Linked DNA regions of Neodiprion lecontei. The protein of the gene in region 2 interacts with the protein of the main gene of each other region in a pairwise test. Links are inferred from orthologs where the notes say so. Each region holds a gene or a part of one and is shown on either strand. Other genes may lie near its edges.

Region 1 (7,287 bases), on a different chromosome or scaffold from region 2:
TATATGTCCAATAAGTCAGAACACAACCACCGTGCTGAGAAATGAACTTCGATACACGTAACAATTTTGCAAGAATTATATTTGCCTAATTTTATACCTAACTCGTTATTTCTGTGCTGCAACTGCATATTAGTATGCTTGTAATTTGAATTCGGAAGACATCAAAGGCTATTGAGTAAAATCACGACTCCGGATGTAAGAATCACATACGCAAAAATAGCGCGACCATTCGAATTGAATGCAGACTACCGCGCGCATACGAAAATAATATTTCATCCTTTTACTGATAATGAATTTAGAATTTCTGACCTCGTACTTTTTATCACCGGAAAATTGTAAACAATCTACAATTGCGCCCAAATTCACCAAAAGTGAACGACATCATTGATACAATTTAAGTACAATAATTACAAACTAAAGATTGAAAAATGGCATATGATCAAAGCGATTATCGCGTGGTTCAATATTTGTTTGGACTTGGTTATAACGGTGCTGGCAACTTGTCGGCCGATAAATCTGCAATATTTTTTCGTACGTTATAGGTATGTGCGTATGCGCACATAATGCAACGAGCCAAACGGAACCACCAACTATCGTAATCTAGTCAAAGCAGTCTGACAAATCAGTCCACAACCGACCGCCGTCCGAGCAGCATCTATACCTATACGTAATAATTTACGCTTGTTATACTATCAGCGTGTATTTCGACCCTGTAAGCCGCTGGCCTTGACTGGAAGACGGTAGACAGGCCGGCATTAATCGATTACTCAGAGGAAGAGGAAGAGGAAGAGCTGTTTCGAACTGATACGAGGAGGGAACCGTGCGTTTTGTTTTCATTCTCGATTGCCATGAAAAATCTGGCCAGAATTATAATGGTGCGGTAACATCTGTCAACGGTGCGCGATACAACCTATTCCACGTGTATATATGAATACGGCTTATTAATGTCAGCTCGGAACGCTCATCAGCTGTTACAGTTAGGTATAGGTCATCCCACCTTCTAATAAGCATACAGAGTATTTTTCACCCCACTCCCCACACCCGAATCTAACTTCGAATCGCGAGAAGCAGCGAACCGAATATCACAGAGGTCAATTTTAATTTGTAATTTTTGAATAACAGGCCCGATTTAACGTAATTTTCGTCTTTGTCAATTTATCAGGCGAGTGGTTCATCAATGCCATCACCAGGCAACAAAATTCAGTCCCAGCGGAAATGATCGCAGGTACCCCTCTATTTGCAACAAAGTTAAGTTCCTTCACTTTTATCAACTGTAAGATTTTTACATATGGTACTAATTTTAGATACAGTCTCTTCTTAATCCGCAACTTGCGCGAAAAAAAAAATTTCCTCGTCCCGTAAATAGAAAAACATTACAAAGGGAATGTGGATTAATTAACATACGAATTAAAATACGTGAGCGAATAGGTGTTTGAAACAAAAAAAGGGATAAGAAAAAAGAATTTCATACCAATTGTCTCTTTCGATTCATATTTTTGATTTGTCGTTTTTTTTTTCCACCTGACATCAGGAATCTCGCAACTTACTTTCCGTCATGTATAACATCACGGTGTGGGGCGCGCGCGGGTGAATAATTTATCACTTTCAAAGAACCGTTGTTACTTTCTCGTTAGTAGGTATAAGGTGACGTCAGTCACGAATACCCAAAAGGCATACCTGAACAGCTAATTTGTACACATTTTTCCAAGTGATCTCACTGTCAGAGTCGTTAGGCGCGTAGCGTCACACGCGCATTATATACCAAAATATGCAATGACTGTTAGGATGTATCGTTCGTCACTCAGCCTCGGCGATTTCTACGCCTTCATACGTACGTCATACGTTCCTTATCCTCTCATCCACCGCTTATACTCTTATCTTCAATATGATGTTAGTCGCTGAGTTTTTTCTTTCGCGTTTACGATGCCGATTGGATTCGGTTCCATCTTTTTATCCTATTTCGTACAACTCATGGAAACCACTTCAATTAATGCATGCAGGATACATACATTGCAAAGATTACCATCGGTTTTATAGAAGCATTCGCGTTCAATGCGGATGGAGTAGTAAAAGAACTTCAAAAATATAATGCAATCTTTTCAATCATCTGATTAACAGACAATTATGTAGAAATAATCATGAACGTGCCTCGCAGAACGTATCGAACAAACACATACTCAGTTTAATGGACGCGGATTTCGCAGATAAAAAAGTGTGCGCTAAATTATTTTCTCTTATCATCAAACAGATACGGCGAAAGTATGTAATCTTAATTCCTCAATGTTGTTACTATTCGCTGAAAGAGGAAAACCGCCCAGGTCCCTATCCTTCCGCGATTTTTCAACATTGATAGCTTTTTGTCCTCTCCATGTAATTTGGCAAAGACAAAAGCAAGTACGTTAATATACCTCACATATAAAATAATTATAATTATGCGCATGCTGTTCAATTTTTTTAATATTATTTCTTACTTTTTGCGCATGACACCAAAATGTGACATACCTGTACACGTAATCGCCTTAGTTTTAAATTTATCCCAGTCTCAGCTTTGTACAATAGTTCGTTTTCTGATATACGGTTCAAGGACAGTTAGTCAAACGATCTCATTGTTCGCGCAGTCTGAGATTGCACCTGTACAGTCGGTAATATATACATACATATAGGTACGTATACCGCGCAAGAGTGATAAATGATCGATAAGAAAAATTGTTTCACTGCAGAGAATAATGATAATTTCCTACTTGTTGATCGTAACGGTCACCGGCAGATCTAGAATGCCGGTAGTTAAAAAAATTACGAGTGTCTACACGAAATGTTTGTTGCTTTAATGGCTTGGAAACCGATGCGCCCATTTTCCACATAATTTTTCCCGAACTACACGTTCAAGGTTGGATAATAAATTGAGTGTCTGTAACTCAAAAGGGGAATATTCCAGTAACATACAATTTTGATTTCGAGTAAAGTCTTCGCGATACGGAAAATACTTGGAAAGTGATAATACGAGGACCGGGGTAACTGGGTAAGCTGCCTGGAAAATGAGTCACCCGAGCGACGAGTGGTGTGCAGTCGTGACCGTGTTGTATGAATCACACAGTCAGTCGCCCTAATCTCTTGTCTGGCATCCCGCTCACTAGCTCCGGGAGCCTAGCCAACCGACTACAGTGCCGTCGAGCCAACCGGCCGGCCGGTGCTCAAGGCGCCCCCCGACTGTCGCCATGCGGGAAATCGGGAGTCGACGTTATCCTGCGACCTGGGTGGATGCATATTTGAAAAAGAAAGAGAAACAAAAGGTAAAAAGACATGAAAGGGAATGACTTTGGCTGCCGCAAGGGTGGCAGGTTTTTTCGTTGAAATAAAACGTGGAATAAAAAGAGAGAAAAATACCAACCTAACGTTTATTTCGAATCTTGTCTTCTCGATCACGTATGCTATTCACATGGCCATGCAGCATCATCGTGGTGGAAAATAATCCACGTGCCGTGCACAGGCACTCGCTTTACCACGGTGATTTGATTATTTAACATGTTTGGAAGTAATTATAACAGTAGTGAATCGAAGAACGATCGATCTAAGGAATTTGCTGGTATACAAAGAACTATGCGTTACAGAACACGTACACCAGGTATGGATTACCAGAAATTGGGAAGTTTTTAATGAATAAATATTCCTGTTGATTAATAACGTTTGAAAATGAAACGAAAAAATGGAATGATAATTAACGTCGATCGATTGCTGAAACGGCTTTAGGTATAAACGATAATTCGCGCTTTCGCCCGTGCACAAATCCCACGTAGCCGGCGGTCGCCATTTTGACATTCGGTTACGGGAAAGTGCAGCAGCAGTCGGCTGACTCTGAGGACGATTCGGCCGAGGAACACGACTTGGGCTTTCACTTAAAAGCGTTCGGTTAACGGTCGATTAGGAAACTGAGATGTAGAGGATAGGCACGGATAACTATCTGGCGAAATCGTAACCTCAGGCAACATCGTTACTAACGAAAATATAAATTGGTAGAACCGAGTCCACACCCTTTGTTCCGATGTATCGAGGATAACTTGAAAATACCTCAGTAAATCGTGGATCGTTTCATTTCTCTTTCGCACACGGTTAAAGGCGCGACGGATCGATTGTGACTACTTCATCAAGAATGTAGGAATAATTTGAATAAAACTGTCTGCCTTCGGGATAGCCGGGATGGGATTGAATGAAAATCAATTGGAAACGTCGAGAAGGAACGGGATTTTTTATTCCTGATCATTTTAGTTCTGTTGTACGGACTAACCCCAAAGGATATAAGACGCAGATGTACCAGCGGCGGCAGTAAATATTAGCGTGTGTTATTAGAGTATAGTAAAAAGTCGTGTACACGCACGCAGGCTATGATCATGCAGCGGTTGTGGAGAGAAAGAGAAGGAAAGAGGGAGATAGAAAAGAGAAAAAAAAACGAGAGAGAGCGAGAGAGAGACAACGAGCGGTAACGATGTGATGGATTAATTTTGTACTCACTTCAAAACCTTCCGATTTCGCCCATAGATTTCCATCGTGTCCAGCTATAGCTGCTTTCGTAACACATCTCGAAGCGAGCAATTGCTTGTCAACGTAATCCTGCCAGCTCATTTTTGAACACAACGGGGGGAAAGAAAACTATTCGCTACGTCACTAGAGAGACACAACCCGTCACTGACTCAAACTCAACTTCGACTACTCTGTCGTTGGCTGGTGCGGTACAGACCTTGCAGTCGGACTACGGCCTCCCCTAGCTTTGTCGCGATACGCGGCTTTCTGACTCACACTTTACTCGGATGCGCGCACACACGCACGTTCACGCCCTTGTCCCCCAACGGCGTACTTTTTACATCTGTATTCATACGCGGCCGCAGCACAATGCCGCCGGCTCGTTTCACCCTCGATTTTTGCCCGTACAATTCGGGATTTGCTGACACGGGGGTTGGATTATCGTATCGATGTATAAAAATCGCTTCTCTTCGTGACCAATTCACACCTGTAAGGACGGTTTTCATATCCTAACGTTCGATACCGGGGACTAGATTTTTTGCGCGGACTTACTTCCCTCCAGGCATGACACGTCGCGTCTACACGCCAGGTGGCGCATCAGTTTCGTTAAGCCTCGTTTATGTTACGGAATAGCCGTATGAAATCGACTTTCTCAGAAGGGAAGTTATTTGTACGTACCATTCTTTAAAAACCGAGCGCTCCTGTAGACTAACTGATCCGTCGGACACGTCGCTCTCTTCAACGATGGTCGATCATTTTAGAAAATTTCCAAAAATAGAACGACCCCGATCAGTCAATTGAGTTTTTTTACTATCCGTAACTTACGCTTAGATCATCACCATGACCGATGGTCCCGTGAAAGATCGCCGAGTGTAGTCGCAGTTGAATTCAATCCTCCAATTGATAGAATTCAATTTGTACACCTTTTAGAATTCGGTATCGATTTTATTTAAATTCCATTCAATTACAACCCATATGATTCAAACAAAAATCAGAAGTTACGCATGCTAGTTTTACTCCGTGTGTTTTGCAATCTATCTCCTGATAAATTAATGAAACAATTCATCTTGGACGAACCTGCAGATAGTAAGCAAATGATTTCTGAACTTGACTGTAACAACATGATTCACTAATTTAGTACAATATAGTAGAACGCGACCTGCAAATTGACAAACAAGTGTTGGCGGTTTTAGGCAGTCTGTAGCTTACATCAGATCGAAATGACTGCCAGTTTTACTTATTTCTAAATCTTTTTTCCTAAAGGAAAATACTATGAAAGAAATATTACGCAAGAATGAAAAAAGGAAAAATGAATTGAATATAGTATGTAGGAATATGCACAAAACTTTATTGACAAAATATAAAATAATTACGATCTGCAGAATTTTTTTACACATTGTCAGGAGATAAGGTAAAACTTGATCTAACCAAGCAAAGAACAAAAAATTAAATTTGTACAAATATAAGAGAAACTGTATATAACATAATTGATAATAGAAAAATAAAATGACGCGATATAAGTTCATTTGAAATGTACAGAAATTAGTGTGTGATATCTGTATGGAGGGCGGAAGTTTAGGAGGTATCAAATACAATAAAGTTTAATATAAATAGTATATTGATTTGGAAATTTGGTCTTTATTTCCAAAAATATCTCTCCGCTGGTGGACTGTCCAAAACCGCCTGGAAATACAGTTAATAATATTTGTGAAATTTGTTTTCTTCTTGCGTTTTATAGTAATATGTAACAAATCGTAGAGTAATATAATAAAAATTCCCAGCAGTTTCAGTTTGTCCATTCAGGGTTTCATCATGGTATTATTGGAACAGCCACGACATAAAATAAGAAATGAGAAAATTGCCGTAAACGTAATAAAGATTCAGATTAAAGTATTTATTGTACTTTATTTGAAATATCGTATTGCTAATATAGATAGAATTATACAAAAAATTCATATACGATTCTAAGCATTCTCAAAAAAAAAGTTCTCCTTCTGCAGCGTTTGTGATTAAAATAGCCTTTCCAATACCCAACTAAACCTCTGCCCAGACAAACAAGTCGGAGTCGCGGTAGCAGGTTCATTGAAATGACGTAGTGATAGGAAGATATCATTTTACAGTAATATAAACTGCCGTCCCAATTGCAGCGAGTGAATCGCTTGACAGAAGAGACGAAGAGCGGAAAAATTAGAAGGAATCGATTTATGGGGGTAGCATTGGAAAAAAATCGGTTTTCGGAGGTAGGGAACATTTCGTCAAATATCTCACTCCAACAAATACAGTGAAAACACTTTGTGACAAGAGCAGGACCAACGACAATAGCGAACAAAATATTTTTGGCCTATGTAAAATTGAATGCTCTAAAATTTTACTTCAGCGTTGATAACTGCGAGAACGATTAATTTAGCGATTACTGTGAACACCTAATATTCAATATCCTTAAAGTTTACAAGTGTAGAATTAGGTAACCTTTCACGATACTATTCGAAATAAATTTATAACAATGATAAAAATTAAGTGAAGAACAATTCACTGTTAAGCAGATCACGCGCGCAGGTTGAAAGTTTCTTTTTTTTTTTTTTTTTTAACGCATATAATAGAATCAGAATGTAAGAGAAAATAAAAACAAAAGAAAAAAAAAATCAAACAACAATTATTTTATATATTATTATTCACTCACCAATAATAGGTTAAAGAACACAAGTTATTGGCAGAGCTATTCTAGATATAGAAGAACGATTCTACAATTATTACAGATAACAAACGTTGAAT
Region 2 (7,365 bases):
AGGGATTAACACTCACGTACTTATCGAGTATACTTCTTATCGGGTTCAATCGCGGCTGCTTTGCGAAGGATGAAAGGAACGCTTTCATCGATCAACAAATATCACCGCGGACTTTTACCGCTCCACGTATCTCGTAAGTGTAATGCACGCTTATTTGCTCTTTCTCGCTCTCTCCGTTGCGTCGGGATGACAAAAGTCCTCGTCCACCTGGATGAATGAACCAGAAACAGGGAAGTTGGTTTTCACTTTTCTCTTTTTCTCGTTTTTTTTTTTTTTCCCTTCTATTTCTCTTGTTCCGTTGTGCGCAGTCTTTTTAGTGAAGCTTTTCTCTCACTTTTTGAACGTCCCGAATACGGGTAGTAGTTTGCTCATTTAGAGCTTAAGCGTTGAGGGAATATTCGGGGAATTCAGTTTTGTGGAATAGAATTAAATTTTTTAAAGTCTGGAATGGGGTGGGGGACAAAAGAGTCAGGTTATACGAATGTGTCTGATAAAAAATAATAATAATTATCAGCCACGTTATCGTCAGCAGCAGCAACAGCAGCAGAAGTTGTTTACTTTCTAACGATATCTAGAAAATGTTAACCGTCACCGTGGGGTTAGAGAGAATTCCAAGGAATTTCATGCACTCGTCGTGAGCTTGTTCAATCCAGAGTCCTAATCTCGAGTCCTAAGTCGAGTGGCCGGGCGTTAGAGTTGCAACCCAATGGCAAGGAGAGAAGGTGTACGCTAAGAGAAATTTTCTTATTCCGGTTACCGCTCAGTCCTTGACTATTTTCATTTTTTACCACAATCGAAAAATATAGTTCCAGGTAGAAAATGAAAATTAGTTTTCTAGTATCCGTTGCTATTCTTTCTCATTACGATCGCTGTTGCTAGATTTTCTTGCAACTGTTGCGAAAATTTAACGCTCGTGCAACGATAAATTGACGTTAAAGCCTTGTTCAACTTAAAAAAGTAGAGTAAACCTCGGAAACTGATTTTGCGTTGCAATAACCAAAAAAGGATCGACGATAGCGCAAAATGTTTAGGCGTACCTCGTTTTTCGTAATTCCAACGATATTCAAACAGTTTTTTTTTAACGATACCGGTTTTACTGAATTTCTCTAGTTACTGTAACAAATGAAATTATTCTCAGTGTAGAGTTTCACGGTTATAGGTATAAAGAAGCAAGGAACCGTGCCTTGCACCATGCACACCATCTAGATCCGGGTATTCGCGTAACGCGGAAGAAGGATGCGAGAAGTTGAAACGTGATAGCGATCCGTCGTCGTCTCGTGATCTGCAAGTATAAACCTGAGAATCACGCTCTTGTTTTGCATTCTGTTAAGCTGCGGTACGCGGAACCTCCGGACGATGGTTTCTCCGGATGACCGGAAGTGTGGAGAGAAAACCCTTCCCGCCGATCGATTTCCAAAGCACCGATTACGATTGTCGGCATCGCGATCAACCTCCGTTAATCAGTAATCGCGTTAATCGTCCGTGTAATTGAGAAGGTCATCGGCGACTATTCATGTTTCTTCGCTGCAGGCACACGTGTCTGACTTTCGTTTCACTCGGTCGATAATGTCGGATGCTATCAAATGTGGCAATTGTACCAAGTCAATGTTACGAGTTTGGGAATCTAGTGGTGTGGTGTAGATTAAAGATCATCCATTCGTATTTGCAGCAACAGTTTCAAGCGGTAACAGGAACAACGCATTGTTTTTCTGCACCATTCCTACAGCAATGATGATGGGATTTTTTTAATACTCCTTTTCGGATGTTTTCGCGAATCTGCCAGCTATGAAGCGAGAATGGTTAAAAATACCCTGGAATATGTGTCACGTAGGATAGGAAATGCGCGCACGATTGTTGTTATCAGGAGGAATGTGTACTGCAGCCGGAAGTGGTCGGCAACATCCTGCAGTGAAACATTTCATCCGGAGACTTCAGTCTGAACAATCAAGTTGTCCGAAGCGTTGGACGTTACGGGATCACCGCAGATCATAACGTCTTGAAGGACCAGAACCGGGTTCGCGAATATCTGTCGGAAGTTGGAAAGACATAACGTGATCGGTGAACTTCTTTCTCCTTGGGATTCGTGACAGTGTTTCATTTGTGTAGTGCAGAAAGTTTTTTTTTTAACGACTTCGGTATTAACCCGAGATACGGTTTCTTATGATTTTTATCGAAAGCTGAAAAATATTAGACTGTCAAGGAGAAGCGGAACGGTGGTAAAAGATATGCAGTTCGCTCGATTGAATTTCATTCCTAGTATCCTACGTAACCGTCATGGTGGCGATGTATTTACGATACTCGACATATCGGCTGATATATTATCAGATGTTATGTAACGATATTCTTCAATAAATTTTAGTTTGTTCAACAACGGCGTAACTCTTCTACTGCGATTTATATACTTCATTTCACAATACTCAAGGGCAAAAAAGTTTCTTCGTAGAAACCATTTTTTATCACCCTTGTTCCAAGGAGAATCGAATCCGCAACCCGAGGAGAAAAAAGGTTAAGGGATTCAGGGGACGAGTATGAGTTGACTTTGACGTATGGGGATAAAATGTATATATACGTGTTCAGTCGTGTGGAATAAAGAACATTTTTTATCGAAATTATTCGTCCGAGTTGCGATGTCGGTCCGATTTCAATTGCCAGGACTACTAACTTTTTAAGAGACAAGAGAACGTCGAAAATATACCGTCGCCAAAGATATTTCAACTTTATTTGTAAAGTTATTTCTGAAAGAAGATCACATCGTTAGCGAATGAAATTAGATGAAAAAAAAAATCGAAATCAAACCAATACTATCAGGTACTCGTTTAACCGCAATGAATCATTCTGAGCGAATTTCATCCCAAAAATTTATCAAACTCCTCGTAGATTTCAGGAATAGACTTTGACAGTCGTTCGTTTTGCTGGAAATCAATTCTGTATCTAATCGAAAAAAAAATTCCTTAAAATTTTTTTTTCCACTTTACCTCAACTTTGCCGATGTCTTACGATATTTAAACAATGAATTGTGGTTAGGAAAACTGAATCGAGCCTCTTCTCCGATCCTTAAACAATACCTAGATATTTTTTGTTGCGATTTTTAGAACAAATCGTCGAAGCAGGATATCGCTTTTTTGGAACTGGAAAACCGTTATTCGATTCTGCCGCGGTGTGACGAATTAGGGTTAACGTGTAATTTTACACCGCAAGGACGAGGCAATTATTTACCGGAAAAAGTTGTTCGTTTTTCAGTGATGTATCGCTGAAAAGAAGTTTGAGAATGCTCGAACACTGCTCATTATCGTCGATGATAAAACTTTCCGGGTAGCGGTGTGAAAAAGGGTGCTCACCACGAAACAACGAGGGCAACATGCTGCAGACGTAATTGAATCCCCGCGTTTTCCCCGTTTCGCAAAAGTCAACCGATACCCCGGAGGCACAGCAGAGGCAACACCGTAAAGCGAATCCTTGAAAGACTCGCGCAGTGAGGTGTCACGAAAATGGCATCGTTTACCTGCAAAGCTGGCGGGGAGCTTGCGGCGATGAAGTAATCGTCTTAGCCGGCTTCCTCCTTCGGACAGTGTTGTAAAAATAAACAAGGTGACAGGGTGACTTCCTCTGTCCTTGGCTCGGGCCAACTCCTAACGGTACCCCGGAACAAGGGTAAAGTACAACCCAAGGACGACACGTACCCTTCATCGGCAAGACCATCGCCGACATGACAACCGCTAATCACAAACGTTGGTCCGACTGGAATACCTACTGGGCATGGTATTGAATGCTAACTAATTCCATTCGCTTCCAAGCCGTTTGTTACCGTCTGTTCCATTTCTGTTTTCGGCTCGCCCCTAAGCCAACGCACACGTGGCAGCGTCTCTAATGACGAATAACAATGATCTCTTACCACTTGGCGAGTATGGTGGATCTTTGCATCGAATCTCACTTCCGAAACACGCGATGTTCCTACGTCATATTACCGAATCCGTGTCACAATGTCGATGAATCCATTATTGTTCCATTTATCGTTTATCGACATACCGACTTCGTTCTGGTACTTGGTGTGTACCGTACTTAACGAAACAATGTCATTATCCATTTCGCAGTGAGGTAAGCATATCATCAGCACGGGCGTCGGTGATGGTGTACGACGACGTGAACAAGAAATGGGTGCCGAGCGGAAGTTCGTCCGGCTTATCGAAGGTGCAGCTGTACCATCACCAGGTGAACAACACCTTCAGAGTGGTCGGTCGGAAGCTCCAGGACCATGAGATAGTGATAAACTGCGCTATCCTCAAAGGACTGAAGTACAATCAGGCTACGGTTACGTTTCACCAATGGCGGGACAACAAACAAGTTTACGGGCTGAACTTCTCGAGTAAAGATGACGCCGACGCTTTCGCCAAGGCCATGCTGCAGGCCCTCGACGTAAGTGTTGTGTATACTTTTTATTTCCCTCTTTCTGTCTCTTCGCCGAGTCGAAATTCTTTCTTTTATCAACCATTCCCGTCTTGGAACTATGCACCTTGGAGAAAGGTCCCCGTATCTTTTCACTTCTTGTATTATATATTACACTTGTTTACCCTGCGGAGATGATATGCGGACGTCAAAAATGGGGCGGCTTTCTTACCTTTATACGTATACTATCTTCGATATACTTTACACAGCTGTACCTGGAGAGATACGGATATGTATTGAATTACTTCATTGTCAGGCTGGTCGCACACGAAATCAACCGGACGCTTGCGTGGGAGAAAGAAAAGAAGATAAAGAGAAAGAAAGAGAGGGAGAGAGAGAGAGAGAAGGCAACGTGCAGAGTGCATCGAGCCACATGCCGTGTAATTGGATAACTTCTCCCGGCCACACGAATATTATATCCGATGCAAAAAATTACGTCAACGCGTCAGCCTTCGCTTTTTCACTCCAATAATTCACAAACGAGATTCAACTCGGTTATTAAGACCATTTACCAAAACCCTGACTCGAATATATCAGTCGCTCCATTTCCCGAATCTGACTCACTGCGTGAGGTTATGCAGTTTTTTTTTCCTCCTTACCTTTCGTTACAGATCAACGACGATTATCCAATAACCGTGACAATTGGCAGTGTCTATCAATTTAGAAACCTTTAACTTTATAATGAAGTAAATTGAGCTCGCGGCGTATTATGATACATCAGTAGCCATTGAAAGATCGAACTTTAACCCGTACTAATCCGTCTGAATTTTCATCCCAGGTCCTCAGCAACGGCAGCAATATCTCGAGGAGTTTGGGTCCGGCAGTCGCTTCCACAGCACCGGCGAATTACCAGCAACAGCAACAGTCCCAACAACAACAACAACAGCAACAACAACAGCAACAGCCTCTTGGTATCACCCAGCAGTACGAAGAGGACATGGGATACAGGTCAGTCCCTAGATTCGTTTTTCTTATCCAATTTTACTTGATTTTTTTTTTTGCGGTTTTACCTTTCACCTCGATTCACGTTCTGGGTTCCATTTCTCGAGTGCTCTCTTTGTCCCCGATGTTTTCATTTCTGTCCAATACGTGACGGGAGTATGTTATCTGCAATAATATGGTAAACAGGATAAGACGACGATTACGGCGTTTCAGGACGATTCGAGAACCCGAATAGCGGCACTTTGCCAACGATTATATGTAAATGTTCCTGCAAGGATCCATCGACTCAGATTTCTGAAGAGGACTAATAGACCCTGACTATTCTTAAACTCACAGTGTACATACCTGCTCCGTCTCTTTCATTCTTGTCACTATATAATTTATGACTGGTATAATATTAGTAGAACCATATTATTAGAAATACCGAACATGAGGTAAGGAGGCTCTTTGGGTGCTAATTAGCTGCTAATTACGTGCTATTTTGAAAAATGCGATGCATAATTTTACTCGAATGATACTTCGGTTATATTGTACATTGCTTTGACGGGATTCTCCGAAATAAATTGAATAAGGAAAAATTTACGGCATTGTTTAGACCGCAGGTGCAATTCCAAAGTCCCTGAACTCTGCAGGACATATGCTCCGTGCAATCAGGCCGCCTGGAAACTTTGATCGAGTTACTCATTATTCCAACTGACTAAATGACACCTGGTAATTGAATAAATCACTCCGTGTCGCCTGCGAACAAGAGGATAACTGAGTATAAATCGCGACAATTAAGTTACTGCGTATTGAATTAACGAATTAATTTAACGAAACAGTTGGATAGATAAAGATAATATATCTACTGCGAAGAAGTGACTTAATAGCAGCGATGACAAGTGTCTATAAATAGATGGATAACCGAATCAATGCAGGATAAGGAGACAACTCACGATCAACTGTATCTTGTATGCTCAGTCAAGATAACAACTGACAAAGTACAATCCAGATAACCGAAATGACTGTAGAAATAACTTCATCGATGTAGAAACTACTGAGAATGAGTTACCAACCGTTTGAATGCCTCAATGATCCCATGCAAATAGCAGGTACCTACTTATCGTCACTGGTCAATGATGTGTTGGGTGCTTCCAGTCAGAGTCAGAGTCAAAGCCAAAGCCAGGCCCAAAGCGGATCTGGTCCCGTTCAGGGGGGCCTGGGGATGGTAGGAAGCATAGGGAGCGTAGGGAGCGTGTCGAGAGTTTCCTTGTCCCTGGGGCACCTCGGTGGAAGCCCTGCCCCCCCATCGGCAACCGCCGCTCCGATAGCGAGCGGCATCACAACCGTCATTCAGGTCGGGGGTGGAGTTGCGAGTCGGGGATCACCGGCTGATCGCGAGAACGTCATGAGGTGACTTACGACTGCCGGATATCATTGTCTCTGCTTACATCCATGTTATAGATATGCGGTATAACATGTAAAGCCGGTGCTGGAAATAATATTTCTCAAATAACATTGTCACGTTACTCAAATACCGCTGACCTTTCAACTCACACTTCGCTTTTCTTTGTTTCTTTATCTGTTTATTTGGATTTACGAATCTTGTCACTTTTTTTTTCCGTACTGGTGAATTATCACTCGCATCTTATCGATCGGAAAAATTCTAGAATTTTGAGTACCCACTCGGGTGGGCGGACATACGTTTTGGAAAATCAAATGGCCTTTAGGTAGAGAAAAAACGAAATTTCGGAGTGATCTGAGTATTCCTCAAGTTGATATAAAAAATTATCAACTGCTACAACTATTGTTATTCGTCAAGTGATTTCACAAAATTGATGATCCTCGTTCAGTTAGAGCGATTGGGAATAGATCGAAGATCCAAGTGAAGAGGTTCTCACCAATAACGATACAGCGCGCATGTTCTTCAGCGTTGGTGCCCTGAATAATACAATGACAAATCATCAATGCGATGTGATCGCTTGATCAGTTTTAGAGATT

Evidence for each region.
Region 1: the proteins of protein enabled (region 2) and profilin interact in binary tests that used the Drosophila melanogaster proteins (3 or more experiments, as listed by UniProt). The link is inferred for Neodiprion lecontei from reciprocal best matches to the Drosophila melanogaster genes ena and chic.

What each region holds. Positions count from the first base shown.
Region 1 is NC_060261.1:30,012,586-30,019,872, forward strand, and holds the start of profilin, read right to left. Parts: upstream 4,801-7,287; 5' UTR 4,618-4,800; coding exon 4,507-4,617; intron 1-4,506. UniProt on the Drosophila melanogaster protein: Binds to actin and affects the structure of the cytoskeleton. At high concentrations, profilin prevents the polymerization of actin, whereas it enhances it at low concentrations. By binding to PIP2, it may inhibit the formation of IP3 and DG.
Region 2 is NC_060264.1:29,524,061-29,531,425, forward strand, and holds the start of protein enabled, read left to right. Parts: upstream 1-3,241; 5' UTR 3,242-3,706; coding exon 3,707-3,759; intron 3,760-4,091; coding exon 4,092-4,413; intron 4,414-5,221; coding exon 5,222-5,391; intron 5,392-6,522; coding exon 6,523-6,777; intron 6,778-7,365. UniProt on the Drosophila melanogaster protein: Functions, together with Abl, trio and fra, in a complex signaling network that regulates axon guidance at the CNS midline. Required in part for robo-mediated repulsive axon guidance. May be involved in lamellipodial dynamics.